2 linked regions of the Macaca mulatta genome follow. The protein of the gene in region 1 purifies or fractionates together with the protein of each later gene. This does not show direct contact. Links are inferred from orthologs where the notes say so. Each region holds a gene or a part of one and is shown in the gene's direction. Other genes may lie near its edges.

Region 1 (3,809 bases):
CTCCAGTCTGTCTGTTATCTCTCTTGTGCCCCATCATTTGTATGTTCATTCATTTGTAAATTTGGCAAATATGCATTGACTGCAGACCATATGTCCTGCCCGGTGCTTGGACCTGAGGGTAATATTCAACTAGTCTTTGTCATTGTCCCTTTCCCCAAGGAACTTAAAAATATGTCAGCCTCACATGAGGAACACTGAAATAACAAGGCAATGTCTGATTAGGAATTGAGATAGCAGTTTGTATATATGAGTAATAATCATACCTGTACTTTATGGCTTTCTTATCTATTGTCATTTGATCTTTCAACCATTTTATTAGGTAGCTAGAGTAGGTGGTATCCTCATTTTGTAGATGAAGAAACTGGGACTTAGGGGTTACTTACCCAATTATTTGGCTAGAAGTGGTGTGACTGAACAGTAGGCATAATGTGGTTAGGTAGGGAGGACAGTGGAAATGGGAAAGAGCCTGGCAAGGCAGGGGCTACTTGGTGAGGACCCATCTGGAATGAGAATTTGTAGGAAATAAGATTAGAAGATAGGCTGGGACAGATGTCAGAGCCTTGAAAACAGAATCATTTGCCTACTGAAAACAGCCTCAATCATTTGCCTCTTGGATACAGGGCTGTAGCAAGCCCAGGAAAATGTTGGGATTTTTTGAAGGCTTTACCGAGAGCAAAATCAGAAAGCTTCACGGTTTAAATGCTGAATTAAAAAAAAAAAAAAAAAAAAAGACTTGAGAGGAAATGCCCAGAAATAAATATAAACACTGATTGTCTGTGGGTGAGATGGTTTTTTTCCCCCTTTCACCTTTCACAATTAGAAAGAAAAATGATCATTTTAAAAAGAAGAAAGGCCACAAGCGGTAGCTCACGCCTCTAATCCCAGCACTTTGGGAGACCGAGGCAGGCAGATCACCTGAGGTCAGGAGTTCAAGACCAGCCTGGCTAACATGGTGAAACCCCATCTCTACTAAAAATACAAAAAAAAAAAAAAAATGTGCCAGGCATGGTAGTGGACGCCTGTAATCCCAGCTACTTGGGAGGCTGAGGCAGGAGAATTGCTTGAACACAGGAGGCGGAGTTTGCAGTGAGCCAAGACTGCGCGTCACTGCACTCTAGCTTGGACAACAAAGAATGAAACTCTATCTCAAAAAAAAATAAATAAATAATAAAAATAAAAATAAGAAAGTTATCCCCAGCAGTCTATGCCTGTTTTGGAGGTAGGGGATTGGGGGTGGAGGCTGTAGGCCAGGAAACCATAAACGGTCCTTTCAGCACCTCAGACAGAAGCTCCTGATGTTGGAAGTAAAGCAGTGGTGGTGGCACTAGAGAGATAAGGAGAGATCAGAAAGCCCCTTCTGAGGAGAAAAAAGGAGAGAAACAAAGCCACTCCTACACTTTAGCTGGGGTGACTGGGAAGATGAAGGGACCTTGAACTGTACAGAAATCAAGAGGAAGAGAGATTTGAAAGCAGATGTCCTTGGGACATTTAATGGGAGGTCACAGAGACAGGCAGGTGACAGCCTGTGAACAACTGCCCACCTGCCCCCTTCCACTCACATTGCCTCTTGCTCCTCAGGTACCTGCAGTGGTGGTACCGGAAGACCCAGGTGGAAAAGAAGACACCTTTCATCGACATGATCAATTCTGTACCCCTAAGACAGATTTATGGTGAGCCTCACCCCATCTGTGCTCTGCTCAGAAAAGGCCCAGCCTCCAGGTCTACCACAGTTAGGCAGAGGCTTCCAGTTTATGCAAATTGCACTGTTCCATTCCCTAGGTTTTCAGAAGAACCAGGCTTTATAGTCTAGAAAGTTAGAAATATGCTTATTTTCCTCTCCCAATACCCCACTAACCATCCTGATTTCTCTAGGTTGTCCCTTGGGTGGCATCGGGGGAGGCACTATTACCCGTGGCTGGAGAGGCCAGTTCTGTCGTTGGCAGCTTAACCCTGGAATGTATCAGCACCGGACAGTCATCGCTGACCAAGTAAGAGCCAGGAGGTGGAGAGGCCAGGACAGTACCTCCCCAGGCCAAGAAGGAAGGACCTCTTGGCTAGTGTAGGAGGTAGCAGTTAGATGTGAATATGATTCAATCCAGTAAGTACTCTCAGGATGCTTCCTGTGTGCCCAGCCGTGTGCTAGGATATACTGTAGGAATAAGACACACACAGAGCACACATTCCTTGAAAGAGTAAACAGACTTGGCATTTCTCTAGCAAATGCCTCCTGTCTACCTCACTGGCCCAACCCAACTAGCTGAGGCAGCCCCCAACTACAAAGAATGCAGAGAATTCCCAAATCACTTAACCTGGCTAAAAGAACATTTGGTAGGACTGGAAGGGAGAAGAAAACCCAAAGTCTATAAACTCATGGGAAAAAAAGACATGTAGTACAAGGTTCCTCACCCTGATTGAGGAACCTTCACCAAAGTTCAGCTCCTCTGCTGATCACTTCCCTGGAGGTCTCTCTGGCTTAGGATCTAAAAAGCTCCTTCTCTCCCGGGCTTAGATCTCTAGCCTTCTTCCCTCTTCTGAAGCTTCACTTTTTTCCTTTTGCTCCTGCATCACATCTGGGCCTTAAATTGCCAGAAGTATGTGGCCTGCCTTTCATCATATCTCTAGTTGACCACCCCTTTAGAGTTGTCTAGGAAGTTCCTCTTTCCTGGCTCCAGCATTCAGCCTCATCTTCAAAGGAAAAATGACTAGCAAATCTTTAGTCCAATTAATGACAATGCCCTTCCTGGTTCAGGTTTACCAGCCCTGCCCATGTTCCAAGATCCCTCTCTGCCTCATCCCTTAGGTATCCTGAGGGGAATGGCTTCTAGAATTGTGACTCTACAATTAAAGTAATTATTGCATGCTTAACATGTGCTAGACACTGTTCTAGGCTCTTTGTATACTGTTTAATACTAAAAACAATCCTACAAGGGAAGTACCACTATTATGCTCATTTTGCAGATGAGGACACTAAGATCCAGAGAGGTTTAGTAACATGCGCAAGGTCACAAGGTTGGTAAATGGAAAGGTTGGGATTCAGAACCATTTCTTTCTGTGGTGAAGAGCTTGTGGTCTTAACCATTATGTACCATTCCAACAAAATGAAAAAGTATTTTATATAGTTGTCCCTCAGTATCCATTGGGGGTTGGGCCCAGGACCCACTATCCGAGGATGCTCAGTCTTTGATTTGAAGTGGCATATAGTATTTGCAAATAACCATTGCACATCCTCCTATATACTTTAAATCATCTGTAGATTACTTATAATACCTCATACATTGTTACATAAACCCTTGTCATACCGTACAAGAAATAAAGTGTGTGCATATTCGGTACAGATGCAACTTTTTTTCCGCATATTTTAGATTTGGTTGGTTGAATCCACTGATGCGGAACTCACAGATACGGAGAGCCGACTGTATACAATAAAAATATTTGGCATAGTTTGAACCAGGGAAAGGGATATTAATCCCTCATAGCTCCTACCCTCCAAGAGCTAAAACTTTTTTTGAGAAAACAAGACTTAGGGGAAATGGAGACAGAGACCACATCAGTGCTAAAAGAAGAGGGGTGGATAGTATACTGCGGAAAAAGGGACGGCGCTGCAGATTTCACTCATTCCCTCCACATACACACCAACTCTGAAGAATGGTGCATCAGTGAATTAGAAAATGTACCTACCCTCAGAAGAACCCATAGAGCAGTCAGGGACACAGAATGGTCAGTCAATACATTATAATACACCAAATGCTAGAATAGAGCGGGAGGGGGGCACATATAATGACTCACTGCTGGAGGAAGGAGAGGAAGAG
Region 2 (4,298 bases), on another chromosome or scaffold:
CTAATTTTTTGTATTTTTAGTAGAGACGGGGTTTCACCGTGGTCTCCATCTCCTGACCTCGTGATCCGCCCGCCTCAGCCTCCCAATGTGCTGGTATTACAGGTGTGAGATACCACACCTGGTCGGTTTTTTTTTTTTTTTTTTTTTTGAGAGACAGGGTCTCACTTTTTGGCCCCAGCTGGTCTCAAATTCCTGGCCTCAAGCGATCCTCCTGCCTTGGCCTCCCAAAGTGCTGGGATTACATGGGCCACCATGCCAGGCTCATTTCCCTTTTTAAAAAAGTCACTTGTCCTCTGTGTATATTTGTTTCAGGGACTGTTGATTTGTTTCAGTCTTCGGCTGAGAAGGTTTTTGGACATTTCTCTAGTGACAATCTTTCTTTATCTGGGGAGAGATAGGACACATAATTAGTCTTGGAGCGTGTTAAAGCTTTGTCTCCCAAGAAAGAATTTACATCTATTACAACATCTTTCTCTCTCTCTCTGGAAAACTGTATCCTTGCTACTAAGACTTTTTTTTTTTTTTTTTTTTAAGCTTTACAGAAAAGCTGAAACAAAACATTTACTGAAACAAAAAGATTAACACTGGTTCATTACTATTAACTCAACTCCAGACTTTATTTGGATTTCACTAGCTTTATCCGCAAATTTGTCCTTTTCTTGATTCCTGGATCCAGTCCAGGGTACTATATTTAATTTACTTGTCACATCTCCTTTCCTGCCTCTGGTCTGTGGCAGTGCCTCAGTCTTTCTTTGTTTTTCATGACCTTGACAGTTTTAGAGAGGCCTGGTTAGGCATTTTATAGAATGTGACTCAATTTGAGTTCCTTTGCTTGCTACTATATTATATAAAAAATATACACATATATATCGCATATTCATTTATAGTGTGGAAAACATACATAACATAAAATTTACCATTTTAAGTATTATTATTTTGTGAGACACGGTTTGCTCTGTCGCCCAGGCTAGAGTGCAGTGGTACATACAGCCCCGCTGGTGTGGAAAGCGAGCTGTGTTCGGACGGCCTGAACCTACGGGATTACATTGTTTGACCAATGGAAGGCTGCGGAAGGTGGGCCCCCAAAGGTCTGGGATCCTGAAGCCGCCGGGGGGCGTGGCCTCCAGGTTTAAAAAAAATAAAATGGGTGTGAGGCCTGCAGTGCGAGCCAATGAAAGGCGAGGGGAGGCGGGGTCTGTGCGCCAGGCGGCCAGTAGAGGCAAGGCTCTTTCGGGTGGCCCCGGAGCGTGGCTCCGACTGTGCGCATGCGCATCGGGCCGGACTACGGGGCGCCGCTGAGCCAAGTGGGCGACCCGGGCAAGGACGGGCTCCCGGGTCACGTGACACGGAGCTGGCCGAATTCTGCAGGAGGCAACGCCATAGCCTAGAGGTGAAAGTGCATAGCCTCGGGGGTCGAGCTGGTGTGGGAGAACTACATCCTGATGCGATGTGACCTCGACCCGTAGCCCGGGGTCTGGGTCCAGGCTCGGGCCCGTGCGCTCTCTAAGGGAGAGGCGTGGCTTGCGTGGAGGGTCGCGCCAGCTAACCTGGGGGCGTGACCTCGTGCCTCTTGGTGACGTACCGTGGGGCGGGCTCACTCCTGGGGCTGAGTTTTGGGGTCCCGTTGTGGAAAGAGGACGGGCTTCTGCCTGTCCACTGACAGGTAGGTAAGTGGAAGATAACTCTGTGGTGCTGTCGTCGCCGCTTTGACCTGTGGTGGCTAGTTTGGGTGGGAGTGGTGGTGACATAAAGGATGGGGGCTAGGCCCGCGAGGGGCGTGACCTTGTCACAGAGAGGCGTGGCTTCACTCCGAGCCTAGGCGCACAAAGGGCGTGGGCTGGCAGGGTTGGGGGCGTGGCCGCACAGAAACTGGCGGCAAGGGGCGTGGTCCTGAATCCGGGCTGGGAGAGGGGGCGCGATTTCTTCCGGATAGGTTCCCTGTCGCGCCCAAATCTGGGAAGTGCCCTTTCTCTCTTAGGTGCCACCTCATGGAGACCCCCGCGGCCGCCGCCCCTGCCGGGAGCTTATTTCCCTCCTTCCTGCTCCTGGCCTGCGGGACGCTGGTGGCCGCCTTGCTAGGCGCCGCGCACCGCCTGGGGCTCTTCTATCAGCTGCTGCACAAGGTGCGGGACATAGAATGGGAGGTGGGCTGGGGGCAGTCAAAGAGGGAGGGACCTCGTGGTGCTGCTTCCAGCTCACTCATTGCGCAGGGTGGGAAAGCGAGCCCCGACTAGTCCAGAGGGACTGGTAAGAGGCTGTGTCCAGGGCCCCGTCTCCATTGCCACGCTGCGTATGGGGGCCTGGACTTTGCCACTAGTGAGAGACAATATGGAAGCTGCCGCTGCCCGGGCACTTGCACCCCACCTACCTCCTTCCCCAGTGACTCTTTTCACAGAACAGATGGACAGCACCCCTAAACTGGATGGGATAAATGCGGCAGAGGGCAGGCACCAGCAAGGGGGTGGCAGTGAGTTTCATAACAGTTGCCCTCTGCTGACAGTACTGTAGACTTTCTTATCTACCCGTTAACCTTTTCCTTGAAAGTAGGTGCTGTTCTTTCTGCCTCATTTTCTGCAAGAGGAAGCTGAGGCTCAGAGAGATTGTGTGGTGGTTTGCCCTAGGTGACATGTTTGGAAAGAGCTGACCCCACAGGCTTCCCCCGAACTCCTTGCACCTGTTTGAAATTTACCCCTTCCTCAGACTTCCTTCTTAACCCTTTCTCTCCTAGCAGGGACCAAGCTTGACCTCTCCCTCCCCAAACCCTTCTCTGATCCTTCCTCTGCTAGCCAAGAGTCATGCCACTGACCTTCAGGACTTGCAGAGATTTAAAGCAAGCCTTGGATGTGTAGGGCTGTGAGGCAGCTGGAGTTGGGAGGCCTCGGCACAGTCTATGCCAGCAGCTCACTCCTATGCCAGGCACATGGTGGCTGGCAGCCTGTCAACTAAGCCCTGGGCCTGTTTAGCGTCTATCAGGAGGGTATCAGGGAGGCTGGAATCAGGAGCCCAGCTGCCAGGCCCTGCAGGGATACTGGAGGACAGTCAGGAGTCACAGCAGATGGCTCCCTGGCAAACTCCCTGGGTTATATAACCGTCTCCTCTCTCCCTGATTGCCCTGCCATCCTGGAGACAGGCAGTGTAACAGTGGGGCACTTAAGAGCGTGGGTTCTATTGGACTTTCATTCTTACTTGGGTAAGTCTTGATGTCCTCAGCTTAAGAGGGATGTAGTGACAAGAGGATCTGATAAGATGTTATGCCTTGCTTTGAGCCTGGTGTGTAGTATAATATATGCCTAACCAAGACCAAGCTTCTCTTGACCTCTCACCCTGCTCCTGCCCCCTTACCTGGGGCAGGGTGATTGCCCCCTTTCCCAGCTGCCCTCTGCCCTGACCTTTAACTTTATTGCTCCACCTGTCCTTGGGCCCAGGTGGACAAGGCAAGCGTCCGGCATGGTGGAGAGAACGTGGCCGCTGTGCTGAGGGCCCATGGCGTGCGGTTCATCTTCACGCTGGTCGGTGGGCACATTTCCCCACTGCTGGTGGCCTGTGAGAAACTGGGCATCCGTGTGGTGGACACACGCCATGAGGTCACGGCCGTCTTTGCTGCTGATGCTATGGCCCGCCTGTCCGGTGAGAGCATTGCGGAGAGGGCTGGGGATTGGTTGGACTGTGGGATACAGTGTCTGTGAGGGTTGGGGTTTTTCAGAGGTGGGAGAATGGCCAAGAGAGTGGGCATGGCTGTGATGGGCTCTGTGTTCCAGGAACGGTGGGTGTGGCGGCAGTGACAGCAGGCCCTGGCCTCACTAACACAGTGACGGCGGTGAAGAATGCTCAGATGGCTCAGTCCCCAGTCCTGCTTCTGGGTGGGGCCGCCAGTACTCTGCTGCAGGTACCCAGTCCTTGGGGGCTGGTGGGGGCCTAGGTGGGGCTTAAAGGGCTCATGTGGTAACCCTACCACACCTCTGTCTTTGCCAGAACCGGGGTGCGCTCCAGGCCATTGATCAGCTGTCCCTTTTCCGGCCACTCTGTAAGTTCTGTGCGTCTGTGCGGAGGGTGAGGGACATCGTGCCCACCCTGAGGGCTGCGATGGCTGCTGCCCAGTCGGGCACCCCAGGTAGGTGGAGGATGGTGATGCTGAGCAGTGCTGGGGCCGAGGGGCTGGGGACATGTTGTGGACTCAGCGTCTTCCCTGCCCCTGCAGGTCCAGTGTTTGTGGAGCTGCCCATTGACGTGCTGTACCCCTACTTCATGGTCCAGAAGGAGATGGTGCCAGCCAAGCCACGCAAGGGCCTCGTGGGCCG

Evidence for each region.
Region 2: the proteins of GBA2 (region 1) and ILVBL purify together in Homo sapiens (co-immunoprecipitation; 3 studies listed by BioGRID and IntAct, counting the BioPlex papers as one, with this or other methods). This does not show direct contact. The link is inferred for Macaca mulatta from reciprocal best matches to the Homo sapiens genes GBA2 and HACL2.

Annotation. Positions count from the first base shown.
Region 1 is NC_133420.1:63,950,849-63,954,657, forward strand, and holds part of GBA2 (non-lysosomal glucosylceramidase), read left to right. Parts: exon of another isoform or gene 1-851; intron 852-1,578; coding exon 1,579-1,670; intron 1,671-1,872; coding exon 1,873-1,988; intron 1,989-3,809. UniProt on the Homo sapiens protein: Non-lysosomal glucosylceramidase that catalyzes the hydrolysis of glucosylceramides/GlcCers (such as beta-D-glucosyl-(1<->1')-N-acylsphing-4-enine) to free glucose and ceramides (such as N-acylsphing-4-enine).
Region 2 is NC_133424.1:15,710,046-15,714,343, reverse strand, and holds the start of ILVBL (2-hydroxyacyl-CoA lyase 2), read left to right. Parts: upstream 1-1,277; 5' UTR 1,278-1,390; exon of another isoform or gene 1,391-1,667; intron 1,668-1,978; 5' UTR 1,979-1,988; coding exon 1,989-2,123; intron 2,124-3,425; coding exon 3,426-3,627; intron 3,628-3,758; coding exon 3,759-3,886; intron 3,887-3,972; coding exon 3,973-4,111; intron 4,112-4,198; coding exon 4,199-4,298. UniProt on the Homo sapiens protein: Endoplasmic reticulum 2-OH acyl-CoA lyase involved in the cleavage (C1 removal) reaction in the fatty acid alpha-oxydation in a thiamine pyrophosphate (TPP)-dependent manner. Involved in the phytosphingosine degradation pathway.